Linked DNA regions of Macaca mulatta. The protein of the gene in region 3 binds, or shares a complex with, the protein of the main gene of each other region. Links are inferred from orthologs where the notes say so. Each region holds a gene or a part of one and is shown on either strand. Other genes may lie near its edges. The genes, in order: PTP4A3, PTP4A2 and CNNM3.

Region 1 (6,898 bases), on a different chromosome or scaffold from region 3:
GGTGGTTCAGAGCCTCCTCCCTTGCAGCAGCCTGCAGCCCTGTGGACCTGTCCAGGGCCACTAGGCAGCAGGGCCAGGCCACGTGCTGTTGCCTGTGGGGTCTTCCCAGGTCCTTGGCAGCTGTGGGCGTGAGGGGTTGGTCAGCCCCTCAGGGAGAGGCCCAATGCTGTGGCTTCTCCAGCGCTTTTCCTCCTTTCTTTCTGTAAACATGAACTCGGCTCCCGCGCACAGGGACGTCCTGCCGTCCCAGGAGGGACCCAGGTGTTTGTGTGCTGTTAGCACGCGGTGGCTTCCCTCACCCACACTCAGAGCCTGTGCTCCCTCCAGCTGGGCAGGGTGGGGGCTGGCAGGACCAGGGGCAGGATCCTTGTCTCCACCTTTACCTCCTGCTAGAGGTCCCACCCCACCATCCGTTTTTTTTTTTTTTTTTTTTTTTGAGGCGGGGTTTTGCTCTTGTTGCCCAGGCTAGAGCGCAATGGCGCGATCTCGGCTCACTGCAACCTCTGCCTCCTGGGTTCAAGCGATTCTCCTGCCTCAGCCTCCCGAGTAGCTGGGATTACAGGCATGCACCACCACGCCTGGCTAATTTTTTTTATTTTTGTTTTTAGTAGAGATGGGGTTTCTCCGTGTTGGTCAGGCTGGTCTCGAACTCCCGACCTCAGGTCATCTGCCTGCCTCAGCCTCCCAAAGTGCTGGGATTACAGGCATGAGCCACTGCACCCACCATCTGTTTTAACCTTCCCAGAACCACGCAATGGACAGATCCTGAGGTGTGGCGCTTGCTCGGAGCCTGTGAGCACTGGCTGCCACCGAGGGTGTGGAGGGCAAGCAAGGAGGAGCCCACGGTCCCATGCAGCCACCCTCCGAGTCCAGGGACCCAGGCCTCAAGCCCTCCCTGCGCCTGGGCTGAGACTCCAAGGGCCCAGCCTGCCTGGTGGGCAGCTGGGAAGGGGGTGCTGGGGCTGGGGCAGGGGCACAGGTGAGAGGGGGTGGGTTGGGGAATGGAGAGCTCTGCTGGACAAGGGACCCTGAAGTGCCTTTCCTTGGGTGGTAGACAGTAGTGACAGGGCCGGGCTTGGGTTGAGTCTAGGGGGCTGGAGAGTCTGCTAACAGCTGGGTCACAGCCGGAGGGAGCTTGGGTCACTTGTGTGGCCCCTCGTTGTGCTAATGGGGTAACAAAGAGGCTGGCACCTTGTACAAGGTCTCCCAGCCTTTCCGTAGAGAGGGAAGGAGGCTGCGTGCTCCTGGAACCCCCTTGCCCGGGAGCTTTGGGGTTGTGAGACCCAGAGAGGGAGAGAGGCAGGCGTGGAGGTGCTTCAGGTTACTGTGGCCCACCTGCACCCTCCCTCTTCAGGGCCCTGTTACGGTGTGAAGCCACTCCTGGCCACCTGTGCTGTCACCACCTTGGCATGTGTGCCTGATGGCTGGCCTATTGGTGTGGTCTGTCCCCGCCTCCACAAGCTCCTGGAGGGGCAGAGCTGGCCTGTTTATCCCCTGAGCCTGGCTGAGCCCTGTGTGAGCAGCAGAGACACAGTGGCAGGGGGACACTGGTGGGCAGGGGGACACTGGTGGGCAGGGGGCTACTGACAGGCAGGAGACTCTGCAGAAAGCAAGAGGCAATTAGGGTGGCCCACGGCCGCTTGTGGGGCCAGGTCCCTCACCTCCCTGTACTGGCAGCACTGACTGAGTGCCTGGGCCCCGTTCCCTGAGGATGGGCCACCCAGAGAGACCTGGGCTCAGATGTTCGCAGTAGCCAAGAATCGGAAGAGGAGAGGGCAGCTGTCCTGGGGTGGGGTTTCCACAGATCACGGCAGGTGGGCAGGGGCCAGGCTCAGGCTTCTTAGGGGAACTCGGCCTGTGTCCCCACAGAGGGACCCATTGTCTGTGTGCTGGGTTCATCATGTCCTCGGGGGTGTGTATGTCCCTGAAATCCCTGTCCCCCTCTGTCCTCCGTCATGCCCTGCTGGCTGTGTGGTGGCTGCCCTATGGCCTTCAGGCGCTGGGTCAGTCCTGGCAGGAGCCGTGCTTCCTCGTGCTCCCACATAAGGAAACAGACCTAAGAGGGTCATTCACTCAGCATGGTCAGGAGGAGCGCTCTGGGAGAGGTGTTGCCTGTGACTGCGGGCTCAGGGCAGGCATGAACCCCTCGTGGGAGGTAGGGCCCACTGTGACCCCTTTCTATTCATTTTCTTCATCTGCGCCCCCAGATGCTGTGTGCTGCGGACCCACCTGGGGTTCATGGAGTGGGCCACGGGGCCCAGCCCTGAGCACTGCTGTACCCAGGCTCGCCGTGCCTGCTGCTGAGGAGTCCCCGCGCTGCTGGCTCTCACCATTGCCCTCGCCTGCCGATGGCCTCTGCTGCCCAGCCTGGGGCCAGCTCTACCGCCTGAGCCCCCTGCCCCCCTTCAGGACTCACCGTACCCCGATGGGGTAACGTGACAGAGGCCCCGCACGTCAGAGGCCGCTGTCCCCACGGCCGCTGCCCGTGACCCCTGGCCCAAGGCTGCTGGAGTTGGTTCAGTTCAAGTTCATTCTTCCTTTGGCCCTTGGGGGCTTGGGGCCCACCTCTGAGTGAAGGGGGCTGTCTGCCCAGCCACCGATGTGGAGAGGGCGCCCCCAGCGTGGGGTCCAGCTCTGGACACTGCTTGGCGGCCGGATTCTCTTTGGGCTTTTAAGTTTTCTTTGCTGAGCTTTTTTTGGTTGTTCTTTTTATTTTTTGCCTCTTTATGACTATCCAGCTGTGAGAGACAGGAGTTTGGAGTTGCCTGCTTTACTTTGGGCGGGGAGGGGGCTGTTTTTTCTCTTTTCTTTTTTAAGACTTGGGTTTTCTTTTTTAATTATCCAAACACTGGGCAGCTTCCTCCCCCACGCCTAAGTATTTGCACAATATTTGTGCGGGGTATGGGGGTGGGTTTTTAAATCTCGCTTTTCTTGGACAAGCACAGGGATCTTGTTCTCCTCATTTTTGGGGGGTACGTGGGGACTTCTCAGGACGTGTCCCCAGCCTTCTGTGCAGCCCCTTCTGCCCTGCCGGGCCTGTCAGGAGGCGCCATGGCTCGGATGAACCGCCCGGCCCCGGTGGAGGTGAGCTACAAACACATGCGCTTCCTCATCACCCACAACCCCACCAACGCCACGCTCAGCACCTTCATCGAGGTGAGTGGAGACGGAGCTGTGGCAGGCAGGGGGCCCAGGTATCTGGGAAGCCCGGCTGAGCTGCCTGAGGCCTCCCGAGAGGGGTCCCCAGCCCCCGCTGGCCAGACAGGGCTCACAGCCTTGAAGCAAAGCCCAGTCCCCGTTGCAGGATCCTGGAGGAGGGACATGGGGGTATCCTGGGGGTCGGGGGTGAGGGTGTTGGGGGATCAGCTGGGTCCCCTGGGAGGCCTGCAGGGGGCTGGCATGTGATAGGAGGGACTCCATGCCATGTGGATAGAGGCAGGGGGTGAGGCTGGGGGATACATGGGCCAGGTTCTGCGTGCTCAGCCGTGGCCTGGGCTGAGGCCCTCCCCAGCCCTTTGCTGTCCTTTTGACCTCTGTGCATAGGCTGAGCGGGCAGGAGGTGCCCTGGTATGAGAAGTGGCTGCTTAATGGGGAAACAGGCAGATGGGGGACAAGTATGCAGGGCAGCTCCATGGCTAGCCCAGGCTTCCACACGCTGCTGGGCTCTGGGTGAGACCTCAGGTTAGACGAGGCTGGACAGGGGGCTTCAGGGCCCAGATCTCTATATGAGGAGGGACTGAGCAAAGGTCAGCACTGGCCACAGGAGGGAGGGACCGCTGTGCCCTGGAGAGCCAGCAGAGATGCCTGCCACTGGCAACCCTGGCAGATGGGACCAGATGCATTTACAGAAGCTATCTTGGGAGTGGAGTCTGGAGAGACCTGTGTGGCCTCCTAGAGGAGCCTGGTCTCTGCAGAGTGCCCTGCTGTTTGCAGGCCTGGGGCCATTTGCAGAGTCTGCAGCGGTGTGTGGGGCCGTTGACAGCCTCTGTCTGTGCCAGCTGTGTCAGAGGCTGCAGCTGTGTGCAGGGTCATTTATGACTGAGTCCTTTGCCCTGTGACATGAGATAAGCCATCATGGTCTTGTCATAATGAAACAGGGATTTGGGCATGAGAGGGTATTGAGAACTGTAGAGCAGCAGGATGCATTGGGCACCCTGCCATCAGGGAGCCTGGACCCTGGACACTGAGCCAGGTGCCCTACAGAAGATGGCTGTCCCTCTCACAGCTGAGACCCTTGAGATAACAGCAGGATGTACAAGAAAGATTGGGGAGAACATCATGATGAGTGGCCAGGGTCAGTCCTCAGAATATGACTGGGATCAGGGTTAAGCCTGTAACCAAGGTCAGGTCTCAGTGTGTGACCAAGGTTGGGACTCTGTGTGTCCAGGATCAGCACTCAGTATGTGACCAAGGTTGGGGCTCAGTGTTTGACCAGGATCAGTGCTCATGTGTGACCAGGGTCAGGGTTTGGTGTGTGTCTGGGATCAGGGCTCACTATGTGACCAGGATCGAGGCTCAGTGCGTGTCCAGGATCAGGGCTCAGTGTGTGACCAGGATTAGAGCTTAGTAGGTCAGCAGGGTTAGGGAGGGCTCAGCCTGTGACCAGGGTTAAGGCTTAGTCCAGGATCAGGGCTCAGTGTGTGACCAAGATCAAGGCTCAGTATGTGACCAGGATCAGGGCTCAGTATGTCACCAGGGTTGGGGCTCAGCATGTGACCAGGATGAAGGCTCACAGGTGTGTGACTGTCAAGGCTCAGGATGTGACCAGGATCAGGGCTCAGTGTGTGACCAGGATCAGGAAGGGCTCAACCTGTGACCAGGGCCAGGACTGAGTCCTGGGCTGGGTGGCCATTCCCTCTGCTGAGGGTGCAGAGGGCCTCTGAGGTACCCCACGGCCAGAGAGCCCAGCACCCCGCCTGCTCCCTGCATTCTCAGATAGTTGGGTACTGGCCTCTCTGTGTTCTAGGTACCCGTCCCGTGACCAGCAAGACCCAGCAGCTGATTCCTCACCCATCCCAAAATAGCTGTGAGAGCAGGTGGGGTGGGAACAGCCCTCACACGTGACCCCCGTGAAGTGGATCCCCCGCAGTGGGGGTATAAATATCGGCCTGGCTGTGAACTACCACGACCTTTTCCCTGGTCGTGTGGGGCTTCCCTGGTGGCGTGCAGGGCCCAGCTCCCTCCTGGCCGCCATCTGAGTGGTGCCCACCCTCCCTGCTCTGAGGTGCCCCAGCTGACGCCCGCCCCTCTTAGACCCCAAAGTCCCCCTGGACTGGACCCATCCCTGCGGCTCAGCTGGGGTCGCTGCTCAGATGCAGGGGCTCACATGTGGACTGGGGGGTCCAGTTCCTGCTGTGGGGACCCAGTAGCTTTTCTGGAAGAAATGTCCTTGCTGGTAGATGTGGGGTCCTGAGCACCCCAGAGGAGGGAGTGGTGTGCTGGGGAGCTGGGGTCCCAGCTGCCGGTGACCATGAATGTAGGTGGAGACACCTTTGCCTTTGCTGGGTGGCCCAAGGGACCTGGGACAGGCTCTTTCACACCCAGACACCACCTTGACCAGTCGCGGAGCCCGAAGTCCACTCTTGGTGGGCGTCACTGCATCAGGGTCTGCCTGGCTGGAGGGTGACATGCCCTTCCCTGGGGGCTTCAGGGACCATGCCCCTGCCCCAGGGGACTGAGGGGACAGGATTCCACCCCGAGAGGTCTGAGGGGACAGGGCTCCACCCTGAAGGGTCTGAAGGGACATGTCCAAGTCCTGGGTGATGGTGGGGGACACAGCTGTGCCCTGGGAGCCCTGGTGAGTGGGTCCTGCTCCCTGAGCACTGCAGCCCCAGCCCAGCCCTGCCTCCTCCGTCCTCCCCCCTCAGGACCTGAAGAAGTATGGGGCCACCACCGTGGTGCGCGTGTGTGAAGTGACCTATGACAAAACGCCGCTGGAGAAGGACGGCATCACAGTTGTGGTGAGGCACGCGTCACGGGGACCCTGGCCACGGGGACCCTCGTCGCTGCTGCCACCGTGGGAGGGTGGGGCGGGGGGCTCTGGGCCTGCACAGAGGGTTTGGTGCCCCTCCTGTGGCAGCCCTGGACATGTTTGTGCCGGGCCACGTGTGTGTCTGGGTACATCAAGGGAAGGCCAGGGTGTTGGGCCTTGTGACCTCAAGAAATTCACCCTTGTGTACCCCATCTTTCTGTCTCTAGATTGGGCCAGCTTGGCTCGCCAGGCAGGGGTGGCTGGCACATGCTTGGTGCATGGGCCAAGGTGGGGGTTGGGCTCCTCCGCCTGTCTCAGACCCTCCTCCCGTCCTGTCTTGGGTCCATCTCAGCCTCTGTCCAGGTGGCTGCGGCCCTGTTGCCAGGCAGCAGGTTCCTGGGGAGGACCCTTGGGCAGTTTCCTTGGCTCCTTTGGCCCTGGGGACCCAGGTCTGGGCAGGGTGTGGGGCGGTTCTGCTGCCGTATCCTTGGGGGATGGGCCACAGCAGCTGCAGGCCCAGAGCCGGCCCCAGGGCAGGGGGTCCACCCCCGGCCCGGTAGACGACTGCCCCCTGGTGCAGGCTCGCCCAGCTGCATCCGGGCCTGTCTCCTCAGTGCGGAGCTTGAGTGACCCCTCAGTCACTGCTTTTCATCCCAGGACTCTGCTTTTGGCTGTGGTTGCTGTTTCATAACCTCAGCTTGGCGGTTTGGAGTGGTGGCAGTGGTGGCGCTTTGGGGTCAGATAGGCCTTGGGCTGCGTCCCGCCTCTGCCCTCCCCAGCCTTGTGACACTGCAGGTCACTCCGAGCCTTGGGTTCCTCAGCTCAAAGCGGGGCTGCTTGGAAGAATGGGAGGTGAAGGCGTGTCCCCGCTTCTCGCGTGGGGTGCACCCACACCCTCCTTCCTCTTCCACAGCAGCGGGAGGGATT
Region 2 (6,854 bases), on a different chromosome or scaffold from region 3:
AAACCCTAAAAGTGTTAATACTGAACTCTACCAGTACCCCAAGATCTCTACCATCACCCTATTCAATAAACATAACTAAGTCCACCATGTTAAAACTAGATTCCATCTTCTATTCAACAAATACAGCTGATGGACTAGCACCCAAATAAATTAACCAAACTTAGTTTCAGAAAAACTTAAGCTTCATTCTTCCAAGACCAAGAGCAACAGCTAAAAACGTATGCACCTGCTCCCTCTGCATCTTGTTTGTAAATTCATTAGTTTTCTAGGCTTCACTGGTTACCAACCCCCACATTACAACAAAAAGGAAAAAGTATATTCAAATCCTGTAAAATAAATCCCTACTAAATTTCAACTTTGTGTCTGAAAATTGTAAAGTGTTCCTTAATTACTGCATAAGGAAATACTACCTTTATCGGACAAAATGAATAAAGTTAATTCTTAAGAAAGATAAATCCAATTTACCTTGTTTGAAATTTTTTTTCAAGTCAACTATATATGGGGCTCTCATACTATGTTTTTTCAAAGCTACACACAAAAGTATTCAAACATTTACTCTTCCTAGTGCTACAAAGTTCAATGATGTTGTAAATGGTTTCTGCCTATAAATTTGGTTTGTTCAAATTAAATATTACTTGACTGACTCACAGAGGGAGTGGCCTGACTTTTGCTGTTCTGAGTCAGAAAATACCCCGTTCAGCAGTTCGAAACTATTTCTCATCTATAAAGGTGTCGAAAACGCCAGCCTTTTCCAGCTACAAAATCTGTTGCCTTAGTAGAAAGACCTTAGTGGCAATAATACTTCAAATCTGTAGTCAATTTATAATTAACAAAATGCTTTCAACATGTATATTCTCACTTCTTCTGATTTAAGTGTCCCACACAGCTCAACAGAGAAACTTTCATACAGTGGTTAAGCTCTAGTTCACTCTTGGCCCCAATAAGTATATTCTCTTTTTTCCAAAAAATAAAACATAAAAGGCTGCTGCATTTCTTTAATCAGACTTCCCTCACGCAGACATATCCCAGATGCCTCATAAAAACTGTCTCAAAGCACACACCCAGAGCCCGAAGAGAGTTTCAAGGCAGCATCTCCTCCCACATAAAAGCCTAGCTTAGGCCCCAAAGAGCCTCCAGTCAGCATCTCCTAAATGATCCCCTTGCCTCCAGCCTTCTCTATTTCAACAGCTCTCCTAAGTACAAGCTGCTAGGTCATCATGTGGATGAGAAACCTCAATGTAAGATGAGCTATTGAAACAGCAGTATGATGTATTGGAAAAATCAACAGCTTTGGAGTCAAAGACCTGGATTTTTAATCCAGCACTAATTCTTCTTATCTGTGTGACCTGGGACAAGTTACTTAACCTTTTAAGTTTCTGTATCTCTTCTTCTCACCACTGTAAATCCATGGGAGCTCATCGCTGTATCCCTAGTGCCGGGCAAACAGAAGTGGTTCAAAATAAGCCAAATGGATGCAAATGAAGAGACCACCTTTCTTGTAGTTGTGAGAATTAAATGAATATAAAAAGCACCTGTAGCACAGTAGGCAATTAACACTAATTAATTCCTTCCCTCACTGAATAGTAACAATACTATTTACTATTTCTTTCTTATTTTTTTGAGAGAGGGTCTCACTGGCTCACTACAGCCTTGACTTCCTGAAATCACAAGTTCCTCTCGCCTCAGCCTCCAGGATAGCTGGAACTACAGGCACATACTACCATGCCTAACTTTTGTATTTTCTGTAGAAATGGAGTCACCACGTTGCCCAGGCTGGTCTTGAACTCCTGGGCTCAATCGATCCTCCTGCCTCAGCCTCCCAAAGTGCTAGGATTACAGGCGTGAGCCACCACGCCCAGCCGAAAAATATAAATTCTAACTTTTAATTACACATCAATGATTTTGCCTGTAATTCTATTATGTTCACGATCAAAAGGACCACCCTCGCGCCTGTTAATCCCAGCACTTTGGGAGGCCAAGGCAGGTGAATCAGTGGCGGTCAGGAGTTCGAGACCAGCCTGGCCAACAAGGTGAAACCCCGTCTCTACTAAAACTATGAAAATTAGCTGGGTGTGGTGGCGCACACTTGTATTCTCAGCTACTTGGGAGGCTGAGGCGGGAGATTACTTGAACCTGGGAAGCCTGGGCAACAGAGCAAAACTCCATCTCAAAAAAAAAACAACAACAACAAAAGGACCATACTACTTTTTGCTTATACTGAAAGACTACCAACTTCTAAGAGACAATTATTTTTAAGATAACATCATTTTTAATATTATATCAAAGTGTAAAATCCCTATCGAGGTACTACTCTTCATCAAGAATCCCTACTTTTACAACTCAAGAATGGGAAAAGTCCATGACAATAATTAGTCCATTCATTATGAAACTTAAAAATGCCAAGATCAGAATACCAGCAAACAACTTCTCACCATCTTCACCAATACAATGGTGTGCTGGCAAGTGATTCTGAAGCCCTGATAATGTGTCATTCTGCATCCTTAATTTCCTTTTGCACATTCGGCAAGGCATAACTTCACTCACTTCCCTCTGAAACTACTCTGTTACAGAGCATGACAGCAAGTACCATATTCCAACTCAGCAGTGGTTGTAGTTTGGTGACTCCAGACAAACATTTGCTGAATGCCTACAGTGACACTAGAACTGCGGGTCACTGCTAATTTCTTGACAAATTCCAGGAAATAATAAACTAGCCTATAGTTTAATTTACCTAACAATAAAATACTCTTCACCTGAAAAACTAGCAGTACTTTACAAAAGTTTATGCTCCTGAACACTCTACAGGCCAGAGTGTAGGCTCTTGGGCAACAGACACACTTCTTTTCGTTAGCTCTCAGGGACCCAGACTAGGATAGGATGGCATCCTTGACTAATTTGAAAATTTACTTTGAAGTTATGAAACGTGGGAGAAAAAAAACGTATAGAACAACAACAAAAAAAACACATCACATCTTTTCTGGGGGGGAAAAAAATTAAAATCCCAGAGCCAGAAGATCATAGTGCCACTAGAAGAGACTTATACCCCCTTTCCTCATACTTGAACCTGAGCACCCAGGGACAAGATGCTCCCGGAAAGAACTCCCTAACCCAACACACCACGGTTCACTATCGCCACACACAAAGACGAAGAGGAAGGGCCTCCAGGATGCCTGCTCACACACTGGACACACGCCGGCACACCCTGCCACACTCCCGCCTCTGCCACGCACCTTCTCACCGACACACACCATGTTCTCCCCCTACACTCGCTCTCTACCACACTCTCAACTCTCTCCTCCCCCACTTCTCACTCATGTACCCCCACCCCTCATGCCCACACGCTCCCCGCACACCCATACCCTCCCTCGCCTGCACCCACACTCCCCCAACATCGACACTGTCCCCCGACCCGCTCCCACTCCCCCCACCTCCTCGCACACTTAGCCCTGTCCCCCACTCACACGCCCTCCCTTCACCAACTCACACTCTCCCCCACGCTCGCACAGCTCTCCCCCTTCCACACACACGAGCCCGCCCCTCGCTCACCCACCCTCGCTCCCCCGCCCCGGCCCGGCCCGGCCCTCCTTCCGGGGACGTGTCTCCGGCCTGTACTAATGGCTGCAGCGCCTCCCGCCCTCCCCTTCCCCGAGGCCCCCGGCGCCGGCGCGGGGGCCGCCCGGGAGGGGCGCACTCACGCTGGCGAGCTGGGGACTGGGCATTGAAGTCCGGCGGCGGCGGGAGCGAGGAGGCGCCTCTCTCCTCAGTCACCTCGGCGGCGGCGGCGGCGGCGGTAGCGGTGGCGGCGGCGGCGACGACTCCCCCCCAGCCTCGGCGCGCGACACCCGGCCCGGCCCGGCGGCGGCGGCGGCGGCGCGTCTCCACGAGTCCGTCTTGCTGCTGCTGCTGCGGTCGCCGCTGCGTCTCCTGCTGCCGCCGCTGCCCCCGCTGCCGCCGCTGCCCTGTGGCGTCGCCTCGCGCCGTGCCCGGCCGCCGCTGCCGCTCCAGCCACTCCCGGACGGACGACGGTTACAGCCCGGCCGATCGCGCCGCCGCCACCACCGCTGCGCGCGCAGCCGGAACCAGCTCCCGCCGCCGCCCCTCAGGGGGCGCTGCGGGGCGCGGCTCAATGGGCAGCTGACCCGCCCTCCGCGTTCGCTGACTGGCTGGCCGGCCGGCTCGCGGGCGGTTGGGCCCGCCCACCTGCCCCGCGGGGCTCTGACCCACTGCCCTGGGCACCTCCCCCGCTCCTCCTCCTGGTGGTTCGTTCTGCTCCGCACTCCCGGCTACGGAAGGCGAGTCCATGTGACCGGGGAGGGAAAAGCAGAACGTGGCCTGGGGAGTCGTTCGCCCACGCTGCGCCCCGCCCATCCGCACCTGGGCTGGGTCGAGGGCCTGCAGCCGAGGTGTGACCCGCAAGGTCGAAGGGTTCTTTCTCGCTCCTAGGCCGTCAGGCCTGGGGTCAGATCCTGATGGGACAGGGTGGCCACCAAGTCCTGTGCTTGGGGATTTCCAACTCAGAAGTGGGAACCCGGGCAGCTCAGTTCTTGGCTGCCCTTCCTGAGGCCCCAAATAAATAGCGTGTGCATCTTCGTGGAGGATATTAATACGCCACCCCCGGCTCTGCCCACAAGACACACACACATTCTAAGAACTGTCCCTGACAAGCCAAAATTCAGACTTTCAGGATGTAGGATCTTGGGCAAGTGATTCCCTCTCTCCAAGTATTATCAACTATAAAGTGGAAATAATAGGCCGGGCGCGGTGGCTCAAGCCTGTAATCCCAGCACTTTGGGAGGCCGAGACGGGCGGATCACGAGGTCAGGAGATCGAGACCATCCTGGCTAATATGGTGAAACCCCGTCTCTACTAAAAATACAAAAAACTAGCCGGGCGAGGTGGTGGGCGCCTGTAGTCCCAGCTACTCGGGAGGCTGAGGCAGGAGAATGGCGTAAACCCGCGAGGCGGAGCTTGCAGTGAGCTGAGATCCGGCCACTGCACTCCAGCCTGGGCGACAAAGCGAGACTCCGTCTCAAAAAAAAAAAAAAGAAAGAAATAATAATCAGCAACCTCATGGGCGCTTTCACGATCGATAATAACGTATGAAAACACTTGAGAAAGGCCGGGCGCGGTGGCTCATGCCTGTAATCCCAGCACTTTGGGAGGCCGAGGCGGGCGGATCACTAGGTCAGGAGTTCGAGACAAGCCTGGCCAACATAGTGGAACCCTATCTCTACCAAAAATACAAAATTAGCCGGGCATAGTGGTGCGCGCCTGTAATCCCAGCTACTCGGGAGGTTGAGGCAGGAGAATCGCTTGAACCCAGGAGGTGGAGGTTGCAGTGAGCAAAGGTCACGCCACTGCACTCCAACCTGGGCGACAGAGCCAGACTCCATCTCAAAAAAAAAAAAAAAAAAAAAAAAAGGGAAAATAAAACGCTTGAGAAAGAGGAGACCCTGAATTTCAAGGTTTCCGACTTAATGTCACCTTTAACGACGCAGATTATCATAGAGATTCTCAAGTGGAAAGGTTTTTGCCTCTTGCATTTGGAAGCTAGCCAGAAATTCTTTGCCAGATCATGCGTCCTGAGTTTTGGTTTGGAAAATGTGGTCACTAGCGAGCTGGGAGGCTGGTTTGGGCCACGGCCAGATGACAGGCAAAGTGCGGCATTGGGGGCTGGCTTGGGAGGAAGGGAGATGTCTCCCCCTGAGAATTGCGGGTTGGGGAGGGTCTGTTCTTTCTGTCCACTCCTGGGAAGTCTTGCCTGCCCAGAACTGGCTCCTATCTAGGAAGAAATGAAGATGCCCCCGTGGGTGTTTCTCCCCTACCTCACCACCACATCCATGCTCATCCAGCCCTGCGGGGAGAAGCAGTAATCTGTCATCATTAGACCTTCCCCACAAGGTAGACTTGGGGCATTGCTACTGACCAGAAGGCTTCCATTAGAGCTTAGCAGTAAAATGAAAGGTCTTATGACTCAGCCGCATCAAGCCACAGAGCAGAGTCCAGGATGTTCACCACCAGCAGGTGGCCCAGGAGGGGGTATTCTAGGGCAAAGCTGGTTAGCAGGGCTGTGTGGGAGTTGAGAGAGGCCTTGAGGAGCAAGAGGGGCTGCAGATCAGTAGCAAGGCCCCTGGGTGAGGAGCACAGACTGGGCTCACTTGCATTCTGTCTGCCTCCAGCAAGCAGTATTTTCTACTTCCTGGAAACACAGACTGATTTGAAACAAAGAGCTACCTCCTCTGCAAAACTTTTGCTGCGTCTATGAGTTATTGATTCTTCCGATAAAGTTGCAAAACACCTTGTGCAATCCTCTACCATAGCACTTAACATAATACTGTAATTGCCTGTTTTCAGACTCTCCCCCGCTTAGATGGATCTATTTGGGGCAGTCTAGCAGATTGTTTGCTTGTTTGTTTTCATCTAGTAGATTGTTTGACCAAGTGAATGACACTCCCCTCCACCTAGCTCTCCTTCTGGCCCTGAAATAAAATAGTGTAATAACAACATTAACAACATAAGGATAAGAATAATGGCCCCAATAATAGTTACGTTTACCCCCTTTTTTTTTTTTTGAGACAGAATCTCACTCTGTCACCCAGGCTGGAGTGCAGTAGTGCGATCTCGGCTCACTGCAAGCTCCACCTCCTGGGTTTACACCATTCTCCTGCCTCAGCCTCCCGAGTGGCTGGGACTACAGGCGCCCGCCACCACACCCGGCTAATTTTTTGTATTTTTAGTAGAGACGGGGTTTTACCGTGTTAGCCAGGATGGTCTCGATCTCCTGACCTCGTGATCCGTCTGCTCAGCCTCCAAAAGTGCTGGGATTACAGGCGTGAGCCACTGCACCCAGCCTT
Region 3 (6,150 bases):
TGCCTCCTGGACTCAAGCAATCCTCCCACCTCAGCCTCCTGAGTAAGCTGGGGCCACAGGTGAGCACCACCATACCCAGCTAATTTTTAATTTTATGTAGTGATTGGGGTCTCCCTCTGTTGCCCAGGCTGGTCTCGAACTCCTGGCCTCAAGTGATCCTCCCAGCTCAGCCTCCCAAAGAGATGGGATTACAGGTGTGCGCCACCGTGCTCGGCCGCAGTCTCTGCTTTAAAGGAACCGAGCTCTGGTTTCCTGTCAGGAGCCAGATGATTGCCAGGATGCTGAAGAGTCTGAGCAGCTCCGACAGCGTGAGGAGCGTCAGCATGCTGCTTTTGTCTTTCTCACAGTATTCATTCATTCACCCAGGTGCTTTAGAAAACAGAAGAGAGAGGGTGGATGAACTTACGCTCCAGCTGTTATTAACATCATAGAAATTGGGCATTATGAAAGGGTACTTTGGCATTGAAATAATTGGGATACCCTGGAGCCTGCTAACTAAAATTACACTTGAAGCTTTTCCAGGACTTTCTGCTTGATGTTGGCAAGACACACTGTCACAGCTGCTCGTGGCCCCGTGGAGCTGGCCCACGGGCGGGCGTCGGTGTGCGTGGCCCCGTGGAGCTGGCGGGCGTCGGTGTGCGTGGCCCCGTGGAGCTGGCGGGTGTCGGTGTGCGTGGCCCCGTGGAGCTGGCCCGCGGGCGGGCGTCGGTGTGCGTGGCCCCGTGGAGCTGGCCCGCGGGCGGGCGTCGGTGTGCGTGGCCCCGTGGAGCTGGCCCGCGGGCGGGCGTCGGTGTGCGTGGCCCCGTGGAGCTGGCCCGCGGGCGGGCGTCGGTGTGCGTGGCCCCGTGGAGCTGGCCCGCGGGCGGGCGTCGGTGTGCGTGGCCCCGTGGAGCTGGCCCGCGGGCGGGCGTCGGTGTGCGTGGCCCCGTGGAGCTGGCCCGCGGGCGGGCGTCGGTGTGTGTGGCCCCGTGGAGCTGGCCTGCAGGCCGGCGTCGGTGTGAGTGGTTCCACTCTGGTGGCTCAGCACATGAGAGGTGACCTTGAGTCCCTCCAGCTGCCCTTGCTCTGTCCCCCTGCTGCCATCTTTGGCTGCCATCTAGACCCCCCAGACGTTCTTCTTGGGATTCAGTCACACAACCACTGTTCCGGGGGATCTTCCAGGGCCTGCTTTCTTCTGTTCGTGGTAGAGTCATCCCAGTGTGGCAGGAAATGGAGAGTTGTGTGCCTTGTTCTCGAGAAGTCTGAAAGCAAAGGAGTGAGTCCCTTTCTGCAGGAAACCTGTGACAGGGGCTGGCTTCCTGGGAGAAGGGAGTCGAGATGAGGCCTCTCTACGCTGAGGTGGCTGTTTAGATCCTGGGATTTGGTGCTGGAATCCGAGGCATTAACCAAAACCACAAGTCGCGCGTGGCCTTCCTGGCCTGGCCTGACAGGTTTGTACTCTGGCGGGGCAGCCGTGGCCCACGTAGAGACGGCACCCAGCACAAGCACCGAGGGTTAGAAGGTGTCTAGAAATGCGGTTCAGAGGGCTGAGTGGCCATCTCCAGGGGCCCTAGCCTTTCCTCCTAGAAAGCGGGGAGATGACTCGTGTGGCCATTTCCAGCTTTTTGTCCAGGGGAATGCAAGCATCCTGGAGAACTGTGCTTTTTTAAATCAAGCTCACGGGATGTAAAGTATGATCCACACAACGTGAACTTGACTTTTTGATTTCTCAAGAGAGTCTTGAAGCAGGTCCCCCTCACAGGCAGGTCCAGGCCAGTTTCCCTCAGTGTTTCCGTTAGTGACAAAGGAGGGCCTGGCTGGATGAATTGCTCCCATCCCCTGTGCTGGCCCTGTGCAGCGCAGGCCGGCAGCCCCCTCCACCTGGGGCTGTGGTACCTAAAGGTGGAGTCTGAGTTGAGATGTGCTGTGAGCATAAAACACACCAGATTCAGAGAGTGCAAAATAGACGAAATGTCTGTGTTTATTTTTTGGATTGATGACATGTTGAAATGCTGTTTTGACTATATTGGGTTACTTACAATATAAAACTTAATTTTGTGTGTTTGTTTTGACTTTTCTAACGCAGCCGTTCAGATTTTAAATTACTTAGGTGGCTTGCGTTCTGGTTTTTTCAGACGGGTCTAAAGTAGTGTGGATGAAAAGCACTTACCTGACACAGTAAATTCCTGAAGCCTCCCCAGCATTCCCCAACACTGTGAGACTTGGGCTTTTTTCCAAGTTTACATTCCCTCACTAAGCAGACAAACCAAACAGGAAGCTAACCTGAGAAAGAAAGACAGGGTAAGGCGGAAGATCAGCCTGGTGCTCCTCCTCCTGCACAGCTTGACTCCTGAGTGGTCAGCTGCCACGCGTCTCATCCCCTGGTTCACAGACCCTAATGGGCAGCTCTAAGAATTAGGAAAACGGAAAGATACACAGACACACACACGCACACACATACACACAGTCTATCTATCTTTCTATCTCTTTTTCGTTTCTATCATAAGGACAAGAAGGAGTTCACATTTACATAGGATGGACAGCATATATATTTACTGTAAAAAAAAAAAAAAAAAAAAAGAATTAGGAAAACCTCCCGAGGAGAGTCAGGCTGGGTGGCCTCACTCAGCCGCCCCGTGTGGACTGCCGCAGGAGAGCCTGCGTTTCCGGAGTCATGCCCTTGTTAGCCTGCATATGCAGGCTGGCTGCTGTGTGAGGCGCATGTGTTCTCGACTGGATGCTTGTCTGAACTGCATCCATGGCATGGAGGCGCACAGACCTGGAGCTGGATCCCAGCTCGGCCACCTCTGCCTGGGGGGCCTGTGCAGATGAGCAAGCATGAGCCCAGGGCTTCATTTTCAACCCGTGTGAAAATAAGGCCAGTCCTCATAGTCATGCTGGGCGTCTTAAGTAAAAACCTAGAAAAGAGTCTGGCTGTGCCTGACCCGCTGTAGGAACATGAACATTAGCCACGTCCTTTTGGTGGGCCCCGAGGGAGATGAATCAAAGTGCGGGGGCCCAGCAAGCTGTTCCATGAGTGTCCTCCGCCCGCAGGGAAGTCCCACCTGGCCATCGTGCAGAAGGTGAACAACGAGGGTGAGGGCGACCCCTTCTACGAGGTCCTGGGCCTGGTCACCCTGGAGGACGTGATCGAGGAGATCATCAGGTCCGAGATCCTGGACGAGTCTGAAGACTACCGTGAGTCCAGACTCTTGGCAGTTACGTCTCCGCTGGGCCCGCGCACTTCCCCAGGTGTATGTTGCGTCCGAGGTCAGTGGGCCTCTGTGCTGCTGAAACCCAGCAAGATCCACAGCCAGGCCCCTTCTCAGCCCTGCCTGGGCGCTGGCAGGGAGCCGCCTTGCAGGAGGGCTCGCCTGGGGCTCCGTTAGCAGCAGTCCTGTTAGATTCCTCCATTACTGAGAGAGCTCTGCCCTTCATGGGCCTTTCCCAGCCTTCTGTCTCCCGAGGTGCTTTTGTTTTTGCAGGTTCTTTTGTACATTACAGAAATGTCCTCTGAAAGAACCCATTCTTTGCCATGAAGAAAGTCTTCCCGGCTGGACGCAGTGGCTCACGCCTGTAATCCCAGCTCTTTGGGAGGCCGAGGCGGGCAGATCACGAGGTTGGGAGTTCAAGACCAGCCTGGCCAATATGGTGAAACTCTGTCTCTACTAAAAATACAAACATTAGCTGGGCGTGGTGGCGTATGCCTGTAGTCCCAGATACTCAGGAGGCTGAGGCAGAAGAATCGCTTGAACCCAGGAGGCAGAGGTTGCAGTGAGTCGAGATCATGCCACTGTACTCCAGGCTGAGACACTGGGAGGGGGTGGAAATAAGTCTTCCCAAAGCAGCTGATCCCGGGCCCTTGATTTCGTGGTAAAAGTGTCTGCCTGTTAGGTTGGTGGCTGAGGTCTGCAGAGCTGCACAGAGCCTGCGCTTCATGGCCGGGCCCCCTGTCCCGCATGCTTCCAGAAATACTGCTTTACTCGTGTCAGTTTTCAAACATAGCATTTCTGGTTCCATTCCTGAGACTGCCACAGGCCTGGGGTCTCCAGGTTAATTGCGGCCCTTTTGCACTGGTCATCCTTGAATACATGCTTTCTAGTGAGAAGTTTCTCAGTGGCCAGAGAGGCCTGTTACTATTTTTTAATTTTTAATTTTTTTTTTTTTTTGAGATGGTCTTGCTCTGTCATCTAGGCTGGAGTGCAGTGGTGCAGTCATGGCTCACTGCAGCCTCAACTTCCCAGGCTCGAGCTTTCCTCCCACCGCAGCCTCCTGAGCAGTTGGGACTGCAGGCGCGTGCCACCACACCTGTCTAATTATTTTATTTTTTGTAAAGACACGGTCTCCCTGTTGCCAGGCTGGTGGTGAACTTCTGGCCTTAAGTGATCCTCCCGCCTCGGCCTCCTGAAGTGCTGGGGTTACAGGTGTGAATCACTACATCTGGCCTAAATTAAAATAAAATTGAGTCCACGTCCAGTGACCTATCAGGGATGCCTGTTGTTTTATAAGAGCTGCTTTGTTATCATATCAGCGTTCTCTTCAGCCAGCTCCAAGGCAGGGAGCCACCCCTCGCTCTGTGTGGTTGGGGTGGGAGCAGGCCCCGTGGAGGGAGTGGTGCTGAAGACATGTCCCTGGGGCTCTGATGCTGCTCCGTCGAGGACCCCCTGGCCTCAGTAGGAAGGAGCAGGCGATGCAGTCCCTTGGTGTGGTGGTGTTGACTGACAGGTGGCTGATGCCTGAGCGCGCCCTCTTCTTCCATCTTAGGAGACACTGTGGTGAGGAGGAAGCCTGCTTCTCTGATGGCCCCTCTCAAGCGGAAGGAGGAGTTCTCCTTGTTCAAGGGGTCTGATGATGAATATAAAGTAAAAATCTCGCCTCAGCTGCTCTTGGCCACCCAGCGCTTCCTGTCCCGAGGTGAGGCGGGAAGGTGGTCCGCGCCCCCTGCTCTCCTCACCGTCCTGTGGGTCAGGAGGCCGCCCAGGGCCGACACTGACTCTGCTTCCCGCTCCTAGCAAGCGGCGCGTCTTGAGGACTTGTGTGTTCTCTGCAGCCCTGCCAGCATCCTGGGTCATGGGAGAGACAGCTCCTCTCTGCCAGACGACCAACAGCTAGGCCAGGCCAGCGCCACGCCTGGTGCCCCACAGCCAGGGGCCTCAGCTCTCAGCTGCGCGGGTGTGGGGTGCCCTGCCCAGTTCTTTTTTTTTTTTTAAAAAAAAAAAGACAGGGTCTCGCTCTGTCAGCCAGGCTGCAGTGCAGTGGCACGATCTTGGCTCACCGCAACCTCCGCCTCCCGGGTTCAAGCGATTCTCCTGCCTCAGCCTCCCAGGTAGCTGGGCTTACAGGCGTGCATCACCACGCCCGGCTCATTTTTGTATTTTTAGTAGAGGCGGGATTTTGCCATGTTGGTCAGGCTGGTCTCGAACTTCTGACCGCAGGTGATCCACCTGCCTCAGCCTCCCAAAGTGCTGGGATTGCAGGCGTGAACCACCGCACCTGGCCCCTGCCCAATTCTCTTGTGTTGAGGTGTGGGGGCAGCTGCTGACAGGCCACCCAGGAGAGCCCTGCGGGGCAGAATAACTTTTAAGTTGCCTGCAGCGTTGGGTGTGGTTCCACCGGCCACTAGGCCCCAGTGGACACTGTCCCTTTTCCCTCCGGGCAGAAGTGGATGTGTTCAGCCCACTGCGCGTCTCGGAGAAGGTCCTGCTGCACCTGCTGAAGCATCCCAGCGTCAACCAGGAAGTGAGGTTTGACGAGAGCAACCGCCTGGCCGCGCACCACTACCTCTACCAGCGCAGCCAGCCGGTGGATTACTTCATTCTCATCCTGCAGGTAGCTGTGCGTCCAGGCCTGGAGCCCCTCCTGCCTCCTCAGGCCAGGGCAGGGTCTAGGAGAAGAGGGGAGCAGGGGCGTGCAGATACGCACCCTCCTGCCCCGAACAGTTGAGGTGGTGGGTTTCTCCTTCCGCTGTCTTCTGACGGGAAAGGTGATCTGGCCGCACCTGTTTCTCTCCTTGCCACTCCTCCCAGGGCAGGGTTGAAGTGGAGATCGGGAAGGAGGGTCTGAAGTTCGAGAATGGGGCCTTCACGTACTATGGAGTGTCGGCGCTAACCGTGCCATCCTCAGGTAAGCCGTGGCCCTGCTGGTGCTGAGGGTCAGGGTTGAGGCTGCAGA

Evidence for each region.
Region 1: the proteins of CNNM3 (region 3) and PTP4A3 are in contact, whole or in part, in a crystal structure (PDB 5TSR), measured with the Homo sapiens proteins. The link is inferred for Macaca mulatta from reciprocal best matches to the Homo sapiens genes CNNM3 and PTP4A3. Residues at the interface, in NP_060093.3 of Homo sapiens: Ser357, Asn358, Phe394, Asp396, Lys418, Val419, Asn421, Glu424, Gly425, Asp426, Pro427, Phe428, Tyr429; in NP_001425170.1 of Homo sapiens: Asn5, Pro7, Asp72, Gly73, Ala74, Val105, Ala106, Leu108, Gly109, Arg110, Arg137, Arg138, Gly139, Ala140, Ile141, Asn142, Lys144, Gln145.
Region 2: the proteins of CNNM3 (region 3) and PTP4A2 are in contact, whole or in part, in a crystal structure (PDB 5K25), measured with the Homo sapiens proteins. The link is inferred for Macaca mulatta from reciprocal best matches to the Homo sapiens genes CNNM3 and PTP4A2. Residues at the interface, in NP_060093.3 of Homo sapiens: Leu390, His391, Phe392, Val393, Phe394, Asp396, Thr397, Glu405, Ala414, Gln417, Val419, Glu424, Gly425, Asp426, Pro427, Phe428, Tyr429; in NP_001356788.1 of Homo sapiens: Met1, Asn2, Arg3, Pro4, Asp69, Gly70, Cys101, Ala103, Leu105, Gly106, Arg107, Arg134, Arg135, Gly136, Ala137, Phe138, Asn139, Lys141, Gln142.

Annotation. Positions count from the first base shown.
Region 1 is NC_133413.1:151,764,686-151,771,583, forward strand, and holds the start of PTP4A3 (protein tyrosine phosphatase type IVA 3), read left to right. Parts: upstream 1-2,977; 5' UTR 2,978-3,051; coding exon 3,052-3,156; intron 3,157-5,867; coding exon 5,868-5,960; intron 5,961-6,898. UniProt on the Homo sapiens protein: Protein tyrosine phosphatase which stimulates progression from G1 into S phase during mitosis. Enhances cell proliferation, cell motility and invasive activity, and promotes cancer metastasis.
Region 2 is NC_133406.1:208,943,580-208,950,433, reverse strand, and holds the start of PTP4A2 (protein tyrosine phosphatase type IVA 2), read right to left. Parts: upstream 3,938-6,854; 5' UTR 3,720-3,937; coding exon of another isoform or gene 3,696-3,719; intron 1-3,695.
Region 3 is NC_133418.1:5,488,147-5,494,296, forward strand, and holds part of CNNM3 (metal transporter CNNM3), read left to right. Parts: intron 1-3,033; coding exon 3,034-3,249; intron 3,250-4,743; coding exon 4,744-4,893; intron 4,894-5,638; coding exon 5,639-5,808; intron 5,809-6,005; coding exon 6,006-6,102; intron 6,103-6,150. UniProt on the Homo sapiens protein: Probable metal transporter.